2 linked regions of the Tribolium castaneum genome follow. The protein of the gene in region 2 purifies or fractionates together with the protein of the main gene of each other region. This does not show direct contact. Links are inferred from orthologs where the notes say so. Each region holds a gene or a part of one and is shown on either strand. Other genes may lie near its edges.

Region 1 (5,651 bases), on a different chromosome or scaffold from region 2:
AATGTTATCAAAGGCGATGAACACGCTTCAGAGGGAAATACGGTTCGGTTTCACCTCAGGCGCATTTTGCAGTAATTTTAAATTGCAATAACTTGGTGAGTCTTACAGATAACGAAATGATTCTTGCACCAAAAATTTATTTCAAGTATTAGCTTTATTTCGTCTCTATTATGTGGGAGTCTATCTTTTAAATTAAAAAACTTTCTCGCATCTCGAAAATTTCACTACACAATTATGCAACGTTACAAGAAAATGTATTTTTTTTGTTTCCCTTTATCAAAACTCAACCTTGTTAAACTACGTATAAATCTGCATTTATTGAAAATTTGTTTGCAAAAAAAAACGGAGTTTCTAGCTTTATCCAGAAGGAAGATATGAGTATGTAAACGCAAAATGTGTCCAATTTTAGGTGTTTGCAAATTATTAGCTAAAACGCCTTTTCAGCCCCTTCGCGAGGGTTGAAACAAAAAATTCTTTGTCTAAACAGTTTTTAATACTCTTTCCTAACTTATATCAACAGTGTAAGCTATTCCACAACATTTCGATTTAAAGGTTTATCTGACTGCAAGCGCGCGCCCATGCACTAACCTTCGCCCATAAAATTTCCTCACACTGTTTATCATAATGCTGGGAATACGATTGAAGATAAAAAAAGTGTAAGGAAAGTTGTAGAGAATTAAATTTCCTATAAAAAAATCCCCGACACCATATTTCTGTCTTCTACAGTTTAGTTATAAATTAACTTTCCGTTACTTGACCACCGGTAAAATGAAACGAATCCCTCGCTTCAACGTCTTTGAACATCTTTAGGGCCTAAACCTTTGACGTTCGAGATTTGGACTTTTTTCCAGTATCTTTAACCGTATTCATACCGTCTTGAACAATACGAGACGAAGCGCAAATTTTACATTTCAAATAATCTTTTTCTCATGTTTCAATCGTCAGTTTTTCTCAATCTGTAGAGAGTGCAAAGTTCAACATTTCTGCATTTTTCCCCAATAATTAATGAATTGGTTGGATTTAAATTAATTTAATACGAATTGGCGCCGAGACTCTATAACCCTCGATGCGCCACTCTGCCGAACTATTTTTTAGATTTAGGAAATCGTGCGATTTTGTATCTCGTTTCGTCTCCTAAGTTATAGTCCCCCGTAGTCGTAATTTTTCGTAATGAATTTTTCCAGACTGGCCTTGTTGTTACTGCCCGAGTTTGCGTGCACTAAAATTGTGACTCGGCTAAAAGGTCCTTTCCAGATGAAAAAACGCCACTTGGAAATCCTGGGGTACAAAGTGATTTTTGTTAAATCAAGCGACTGGATTGAGCTATATTACGCCGAAGATAGAGTGGATTTTTTGAAACAATTAATTTGGCCGAATTGTAACACGACGAATTTAAATAAAAACGTTAGATAAAATTTGTGTTTTTGTGGGTAAAAATTTATCGCGACTTTTTCGCTTTTATTCCAATCACCTCGAATTCAGTGTGGTTTCACGATGCCTAAAGAGAAGTTCGGTTATCCGGTTATGAGCATTAACCCTAGGGCCATTTTGCGCCTTAGGATACTCAATGAAAACAACCGAGTCATTTACCAACTGCCTGACGATTTTGTCGATAAATATCTTTGTAAAATCGTCGATAAGGTCATAGGTAAGCGAAAAAAACCCCACTTCCGTTCAAAAACCAAAATTCCAGAGGTAATTCGGGACCCGGATTACAAACACGAACCCGAAGAAGCGACGCATGTAATCACCGGTGACTTTTTCGTTTCTTTCAAACCCGAGGTGTTGGAGTTCTTAAGACTGCATCAACTTGAACTGATTTATCCTCTGATGATGCAAGCTTGCACCACTTCGCTCACACGCAATGCACACGACGTCGAAATGTGCGATATTCAGCCGATTATCGCCACGAAATACAAGGTGTGGATCAAAGGGAGCTCGGTTGAATATTTTGTGCAAAACAGGGCTCGTCCGAGAAGAGTTAACACTCAGAGATGGGTGCGCTCCCGGATTATGATCCACAGCAAGGTGAGGAACTTGGACGCACCTCCTCTTATACTGAATTTAACAAACTGTAATTAATTAATCTTGATTAAATGAATTTACGTGAAATGTGTTTTTATTTGAAAAATGGGTTTCCCCGAATTGGGGATTTTTGCCGGTTGGTACCCCTTATCCTAATTTTTTCAAATAACACGACAGGTCTCGGTGTTAAATTGGTGACTGTTCTGCCCTTCGACCAGATATATATATCTGGACGAGGGTTCTGCCCAAAAAGCATAATTTGTCACTCCGACAGCCCCCCTGATCAACCCCAAAGGACCGCACATTAGGATTATCGTGTCCCGACAGCCCCATTCGTATGAATAAATCCTCCGTTCGCAATAAATCGATGAAAACAAGCGTCTTACTGAGTCTGAGCGGAAGTGTTGTGTTTATGTGGGTGTTTTGACGTTTCATTCAACCCGACAAAACGAATTTTTTCGTAAAAACCTGCCTCGAGCATCGATGATGTAACAAATACTGTTTCTAGAGGTCAGTTTTAGAGTTTGTGTGCAAAAACTGCCCATTTTGATTGATTTTCGCTGAAAAAAAGTTACATAACCTCACTTTTCAGAGGTGTAAAAAATGAGCAGTTTGACCATTCTGGACGACGCCGCTCTCTACGACAATGCCCTCACGCTCGAGATCGGGCCGATGGAGACGGTCCACCGCTGGAAACGTATGCCCGAATGCGACGAGTTTGTGGGGGCGCGTCGTAGCAAGCACACAATGGTGGCCTACAAAGGGGCGATTTACGTCTTCGGGGGCGACAACGGCAAAAGCATGCTCAATGATTTGCTACGATTTGACGTGAAGGAGAAGTCATGGGGGCGCGCGTTTACCAACGGGTGCCCCCCAGCCCCCCGATACCACCACTCGGCCGTAGTCTACCGAAATTCAATGTTCGTGTTCGGGGGCTACACCGGGGACATCCACTCCAATTCAAATCTCACAAACAAGAATGATTTGTTCGAGTATAAGTTTCATTCAGGGCAATGGGTCGAGTGGCGGTTTTTGGGGGTCATGCCGGAGCCCCGGTCGGCGCATGGGGCTGCGGTTTATGACAACAAGTTGTGGATTTTCGCGGGGTATGACGGGAATGCCCGCTTGAACGACATGTGGACCATTTCACTTAATGTAATTATTCGTCAGTTTTTGCGGGGGTTCATTGCGTTTTTTAGGGGGATAGTCGCTGTTGGGTCAAGGTGATGCAAGTAGGGGAGTGCCCCCCGACTTGCTGTAATTTCCCGGTGACGGTTGCGCGGGAGCGTATGTTTGTTTTCAGTGGGCAAAGTGGGGCCCAAATCACAAACTCGCTCTTCCAGTTCAATTTCAACACTCATACGTATAGCCCCATTTTGTACTTACAGGGTATTCCAAATGTTACCGCCGCCAAAAATAAATACCGAGTGATTATTATAATAAAAAAATGTATTGGCAACACTGAGTTATTAGCAATTGGCATTCCTGCTAGTTAATTAAAACTTCAACGTTTAAATTTGATTGTCAAGGTGCTAAATTAACTGGCGACAAAAATAATAGTTTGAGGTCTAACAAAAAAAATATACAGCAACTAATACCTGTTCCTGAACTATAAAAACAGCTGTCACTTGTTACAATTGGATTTTTCTTTTAACTAGTGGTTTTTCTTGTCCATTTTTTCTTTTAAGTTTAAAAATAATTTAAAAATCATATATTAGCTGCTTCAAAACTATAAAAACGACAACGTTGCATTTGCTCCCAAAATTAGATGTTATAAATTATTCATGCACTTTAAGAATATAATAGCTAATGTAATTTATACTTTTAATGAGAAACCTAATCGTTAAGAACTATTTTACATTTTTATCAAACTTATTTAAAAAAATAATTTGGTAAAACAGCCAATAGTTTTTATTAAGGGGAAGGTGTAGATTCAAAAATTTAAAAAGTGGATTCCAAAATACTTAAATATGATGGTTACACAGATTATTACAAAAACTTGAATAATCCAGAAACACAATAACAATATTAATTACCATTTAAAATATAAAATCTTAAAAATTATTCGAAGTTGTATACTAATTTCAGATGAATATCATTATCCATTAGACAATAAATGTCACAAGTAATACCTCTAATGTGGGGTTTAGACGAAACAGTATATAATGTATTTGAAAACAATACTATCTTTTAAAATAAAAAATTTTGTCTACTCCCATTTTTTAATTGATTAATGAAAAATGTTTGTGACCTGTTTTTTAATGAAACACAGATACAGATTTTTCATTAATATACAGGTACGTAACCAATGGAATGCAGTGTGGCGACCACGAGGACAATTTGTTACCAATGAGAATGTAATATGGCAGCGACTATTAGATTGCCTTGAGTTTGGCATTTAAATATAAATTTGACATTTTGAAAAAAAAAATGTAAATGTTTTTATTTTAACCCATCGGATCGTAGAAAAAATAATGTATGTATACTCGCACATAATGACTACTAAGACTATAAGACTCTACGACATTCGCCAAGGCTCGTTTCATAAAGTTGTTATTTACGTTGCATTAACAGATTTAATGCCAAATTATTCAGTCTTCGGTTAATCACATACTAAAATTTATTTGTAGTTAATAAATGTTCTGTAAATCGACCTATTAGCTGTTTCAAAACTATAAAAACGCCAATGTCGCATTTTACCAAATTATTTTCTTAAATAAGATTGATAAAATTGTAAAATAGTTATTAATAATGAAATCTCACATTGAAACTAGAAATCACATCGGCTATTATTTCCTTAAGTGCGTAAATAATTTATAACAGCTAATTTTGAAAGGAAATGCGACGTTGGCATTTTTGTAGTTTTGAAACAACTAATACATCTATTTGCCTAATTTGCTTTTTAAATTTTAGTATTTAGTTTCTTGGAAATAAGAATGTGTGAAAATTTCAATACACAAATTCGTTCCTAATTATTTTTCATAAAAACCCGATTTTTTATGTGTTTTATGTTTGTTATGTAACTGAGCTAGATTTGTAAAATATAGTTAAATAAATACGTTTATGTTAATATGTGTTAATGCTAATGTTAATATGTGAATATGAGATTAATTTTGTGGCAAACAAAGTATTTGAATTGTGAGTTAAAAAAAATGTATAGTAATTGTACAAAAAGTCGCACAACTGAAAAACAAAGCAAAGTTTTATTCTCAAAATATGCTCACATTATTTATATAAATTTCTCAATATCAGTGAAGGCAATTACTAGCCAACACAGAAACAACATCTCGAAATAAAAAACCGTAATGCCTTGGTATTTTTGGTATTTTTTTTTGCGGGCGGTAAATTTTGAAATACCCATTACAACCCCCGGTAATAAATAACCTTGTAGCTGGACTCGGATTACCACCGACCATATTTTGAGGGGGGCCCCGCCGCCCCCTGCCCGGCGCTACGGCCACACGATGGTGGCTTTCGACCGGCATTTGTATGTCTTTGGGGGTGCTGCCGATAGCACTCTTTCAAATGATCTCCACTGTTTCGATTTGGACTCTCAGACGTGGTCCACGATTTTACCAGCGGCTGAGTCCTTTGTTCCTTCGGGGAGACTTTTTCACGCTGCGGCC
Region 2 (4,419 bases):
TACTACACATGGCGTATAATAATGCGAAAAAATTCGCTTGGTTAATAATAATTAGTCACCGGTGAGGCTCCTTAAACAATGCGTCCATATTACGGTGATTAAGCGTCCATAACCGCATTTTTTTCCTATGTGAGTATGAACCTGTTATACTAATTATTTCGAGCATTATTATTAATGCGTTTAGAAGTCGTGCGGTTCAAGGCGTAACACACAAACACACTATTCGTCGTAATCATAATTTTACGTATCGTTTGTGCGCAAACTCGAATTGTGCGGCGTCGCGACGTCCATCGATTTAGTGACTGCATGAAATGTTTGATCTGTTGCTTGATTGTGAAAAAGTCGTCGTTTCGTTTGAGGAAATTTTAAGGGTTTAAGGTGGGTGTGTTGAAATAATGGTTTGCGAGTGTTTGGGGTGATTTTAGAGTTGAGCGGATGTGTTGATTTTTTTAGTCAGGTAAGGCATTACGTAAGGGGACGTATCAACGATTGTTTCTATTATTTGGAATAATAGACGAGTGATAAATTGTCGGTGTTGTAATTTTAGATTCGTGTGTGTGTTTGATGGAATAGACGCAGTTTGTGTCGTAAATTAACGCGAAATGTTTTCGGATGGTGTGGAGGGATTTTCCATGGAAATGATCAAGCGTATCGTTTCAGGAATTAATCAAGTGTTTGTTTTATTTATCTGACTGTTTTACTACTTATGTCATGAGATTTCCACCATATTGTTTCATACCTACACTTAATGTTTGCTCCAAAATGCGATGGTGCATAAATAAATTAAAATTAATTTAATCGCTAACCTAAAATATTGCGCATCATTCACAGCGTTACGAAACAGATATTATGCAGATTGGGTCACTCATGCATCGTGGGACGATCACTTTATAACAAAATAATAATTCAAATATTTTTTTGCCAAAAAAACATGTAAAAATAAAACACAGTTGTTACGGCTCTGCTTAATTCCAGATTATTATTACGTATCTGCATTAGTCACCTCAGCTAATTATTGGTTTTTTGGTAATGAAGTTTTACACTAAAAAAATTCATAACTCGAAAACTAAAAGTCGTAGAGCAACGCGGTTTGTTCCATTGAATTCTACGGCTCATTTCACATTAAAATAGTTTGTTTTTTTTTTCTCTAAAATTATACATGGTAATATAATAATTTTCCTCAAAAGAATTCGGTGAACAGTTACCGACGTGATTTATTTGTAACAAAGCCAATGGGTCAGTGCGATAATTTTTCATGAATTTAATGGCAAAAAAATGTTAATGAACGCATTGTTGCCGATTACCGTTGCTTTGTCTCTAAAACGCAATGCAAATGAAAATAAAATTTATAGGGCGGCTATCCGGCCAAACTTAAAAAGGTGCTGATCGTGACGGCCCCCTTGTGGTTCAAAGCCCCCTTCAAAATCCTGCGTCTTTTCGTCCGTGAAAAACTCCGTGAGAGAGTTTACACCGTTTCAGTGGCCCAACTTTTAACCCATATACCACGAGAATCTCTACCAACACAGTTGGGCGGCTCACTCATCCTGGACCATAATGGTTGGCTATCGTTGTGTTTGCAGTCAATGACCACTCGAGAGGAAACCTCATTGCCACAATATGGTCGGTGTTAACATATTATTGAATTATTGTAATTAAATAAAAAATTTTAGATGGCAAAACGCCATCACCCCAAAAACGCATTCGCACACCAACCGAAATCGAAATCTCGTCATCGACCAATAACATAAACGACACCTGGGCCGAAGAAGGCAATTTGAATCCGCCAAGTAGCGCATCGAGTGGTTTCTCTGACGATGATTCTTTGCATGGAGATGGGGCTGCACTTACAATGCCCCAATTGGTGGATTATGTGCGAGATAGGGGGCGTTCGGGGCTCATGCAGGAGTACGCAGAGATTCGGTCAAGGCCCCCTGATGGCACCTTCAACGTCGCCAAAATGAAAAACAACTTGCCGAAAAATCGATACACGGATGTGTTGTGTTACGATCATAGTCGAGTGATTCTCTCCGAAATCGATTGTGATAAAGACAGTGATTATATACATGCGAATTTTGTCGATGGGTATAAGCAGAAAAACGCGTTTATTAACACACAAGGTGAATATTGCATAATCACTCGGTCCTTCGTGCTATTAAATTAAAATTGTAGGTCCTTTACCGAAAACAACGCCCGATTTTTGGCGAATGATTTGGGAACAACATAGTTTAGTGATAGTGATGACGACTCGAGTGATGGAACGAGGGCGTCCCAAGTGTCACCAGTACTGGGAGACTGAAGTTGGGAGTGAAGCGAGTTATGGTCAATTCACTGTTAAAACTGTAGCTGTTGAAACCGATCCCGACTACACCGTCACAACTATTAATCTTATTAATAATAAAGTATGTGAAAAAAATTCATAGTTATGCATTCGAATTACAATTTGTTCATAGACCGACGAATCTAGGGAAGTTTCGCATTGGCAGTTTACGTCATGGCCCGATTATGGGGTTCCCCGTTCGGCTAAAGCCATGCTCGAGTTTCTCGAACGTGTGCGCCGAAAACAGAACGCTATGGTGGTAGCACTGGGTGATACATGGGCAGGGCATCCCCGAGGACCGCCGATTGTGGTCCATTGTAGTGCAGGAATTGGACGAACGGGTAAGAAAACACATTCTGTTCTTTACCAATTTATTTATTCAATTAAATTAACAAATTCCAACACATTAATTTGAAGTTTTTCAATAGAAATTTAAATTGATGAACAACTGTTTCTGTATTTTTTAGGGACTTTTTGTACCTTGGATATTTGTATATCCCGACTGGAGGATTTAGGAACGGCAGATATTCGAGGAACTGTCGAACGAATCCGATCACAACGTGCATATTCCATCCAAATGCCTGATCAGTACATTTTTTGTCATCTCGCTTTGATCGAATACGCCCTAATGAAGGGACACTTACAGTCGGCTGATTTGGCCGGATTCGATCCAGGCGCTGACGACGATTCGGACTAATTTTAATTCTGCTTCAAACTTTTTGTCTTGTGAACGACAAATTGTGATTCTTTTCTAAATTTACATATCGTTTTCTCAAATAAAACCGATCTTGTAATATGACAGCGAAAGATGGCGTTGCTAATGTGACAGGTCACTTTGATTGCGATGGAATATTACAAGTTTATTTTTATAATCCTAATTCAATGTTGGATGTACCTACATTTTTAAGCTTCCTTGAATATTTGAAACTAGGCTAATGAAATCAAGAACGATCTTGTTCTTTACATATAAAGACTGTCCAATAAAATGTAAAATTATTTATTTTGCAAAGCTTTAGGAACGCCCCGATTTGTGTTTTACCAAAAACAACTTCCATTCAAGAGGTTCAAGCCAAAACGTTAGTGTTTAACAATTTTTTTTGTACTAAGTATTATTGTGACATAGTTGAATTGTATTGTAAATATTGTATTCTGATTTCTTAATACAACAAAAAATGCTTTTTACTTTTGTCACGTTTTATTATCACGACACCAACAAAACCAGTATAAAATTATCAACAAAAATAACAACAAAATTTACTTAAAGCTTTGATTTAAGTGTGATTGCGTGCTGTTTCAAATGTCTCCGTAAAATCTTTCCTGACGGATTTCTCGGAATGGCATCAATGAACACAACACCTCCTCTCAATTGTTTCTGAGACGATACATTGTCTGCAAAAATATTAGTAAACAAAAATCAATGGTTAAATTAACAAGTACCGGCGACAAATTTTTCCAATTCTTTGTCAGTCGTCTCATGATTGGGTTTTTTCACAACAAAGGCCAGCGGTAATTCCCCGGCCCTTTCATCAGGTAGGCCGATAACAGCGGCATCTGCAACCGCCGGATGTGTGATTAACAAAGCCTCAAGTTCAGCAGGTGCCACTTGATAGCCTTTGTACTTAATAAGTTCTTTAATTCTGTCAACAATAAAAAAATATCCGTCCTCATCGTAGTAGGCCACGTCTCCGGTATGTATCCAGCCGTCTTGATCAATCGTATTGGCCGTGGCAACAGGATCGCCAACATAACCCTTCATAATCAAGGGCCCTTTAAAACAAACCTCGCCTTCTTTATACGGCCCTAAAGCCTTTCCAGTATCATCAATAACTTTGGCCATCATTCCTGGAACAATTTTCCCAACTGATCCGACTTTAGTTTTGCCCAAAGGACTGACTAGAATTCCTAACGTCGTTTCAGTCATTCCGTAACCTTGAGACACGTGGCCTACTTTAAATCGGTTTTTTAATTCACGTTCCATGTCTTTCCCCATGGGGGCAGCTCCTGTCCGAATTTCCTTAATTCCAGACAGGTCGTATTGTTTAGTAAGTGGGTGTTTCAGGAGCACCAACATGACAGGTGGTGGTACAACAAGTCGCGAAATT

Evidence for each region. The genes of interacting proteins can lie anywhere in the genome.
Region 1: the proteins of Ptpmeg2 (region 2) and Lztr1 purify together in Homo sapiens (affinity purification with mass spectrometry; 3 studies listed by BioGRID and IntAct, with this or other methods). This does not show direct contact. The link is inferred for Tribolium castaneum from reciprocal best matches to the Homo sapiens genes PTPN9 and LZTR1.

Annotation. Positions count from the first base shown.
Region 1 is NC_087402.1:10,242,002-10,247,652, forward strand, and holds the start of Lztr1 (leucine-zipper-like transcriptional regulator 1), read left to right. Parts: upstream 1-2,253; 5' UTR 2,254-2,535; intron 2,536-2,617; 5' UTR 2,618-2,628; coding exon 2,629-3,180; intron 3,181-3,224; coding exon 3,225-3,388; intron 3,389-5,416; coding exon 5,417-5,651. Other genes in the region: FAST kinase domain-containing protein 1, mitochondrial, read left to right, coding at 1,185-1,413. UniProt on the Homo sapiens protein: Substrate-specific adapter of a BCR (BTB-CUL3-RBX1) E3 ubiquitin-protein ligase complex that mediates ubiquitination of Ras (K-Ras/KRAS, N-Ras/NRAS and H-Ras/HRAS).
Region 2 is NC_087397.1:429,309-433,727, forward strand, and holds the end of Ptpmeg2 (tyrosine-protein phosphatase non-receptor type 9), read left to right. Parts: intron 1-1,352; coding exon 1,353-1,620; intron 1,621-1,670; coding exon 1,671-2,117; intron 2,118-2,169; coding exon 2,170-2,399; intron 2,400-2,450; coding exon 2,451-2,658; intron 2,659-2,784; coding exon 2,785-3,014; 3' UTR 3,015-3,499; downstream 3,500-4,419. Other genes in the region: uncharacterized protein LOC662698, read right to left, coding at 3,576-3,706, 3,755-4,419. UniProt on the Homo sapiens protein: Protein-tyrosine phosphatase that could participate in the transfer of hydrophobic ligands or in functions of the Golgi apparatus.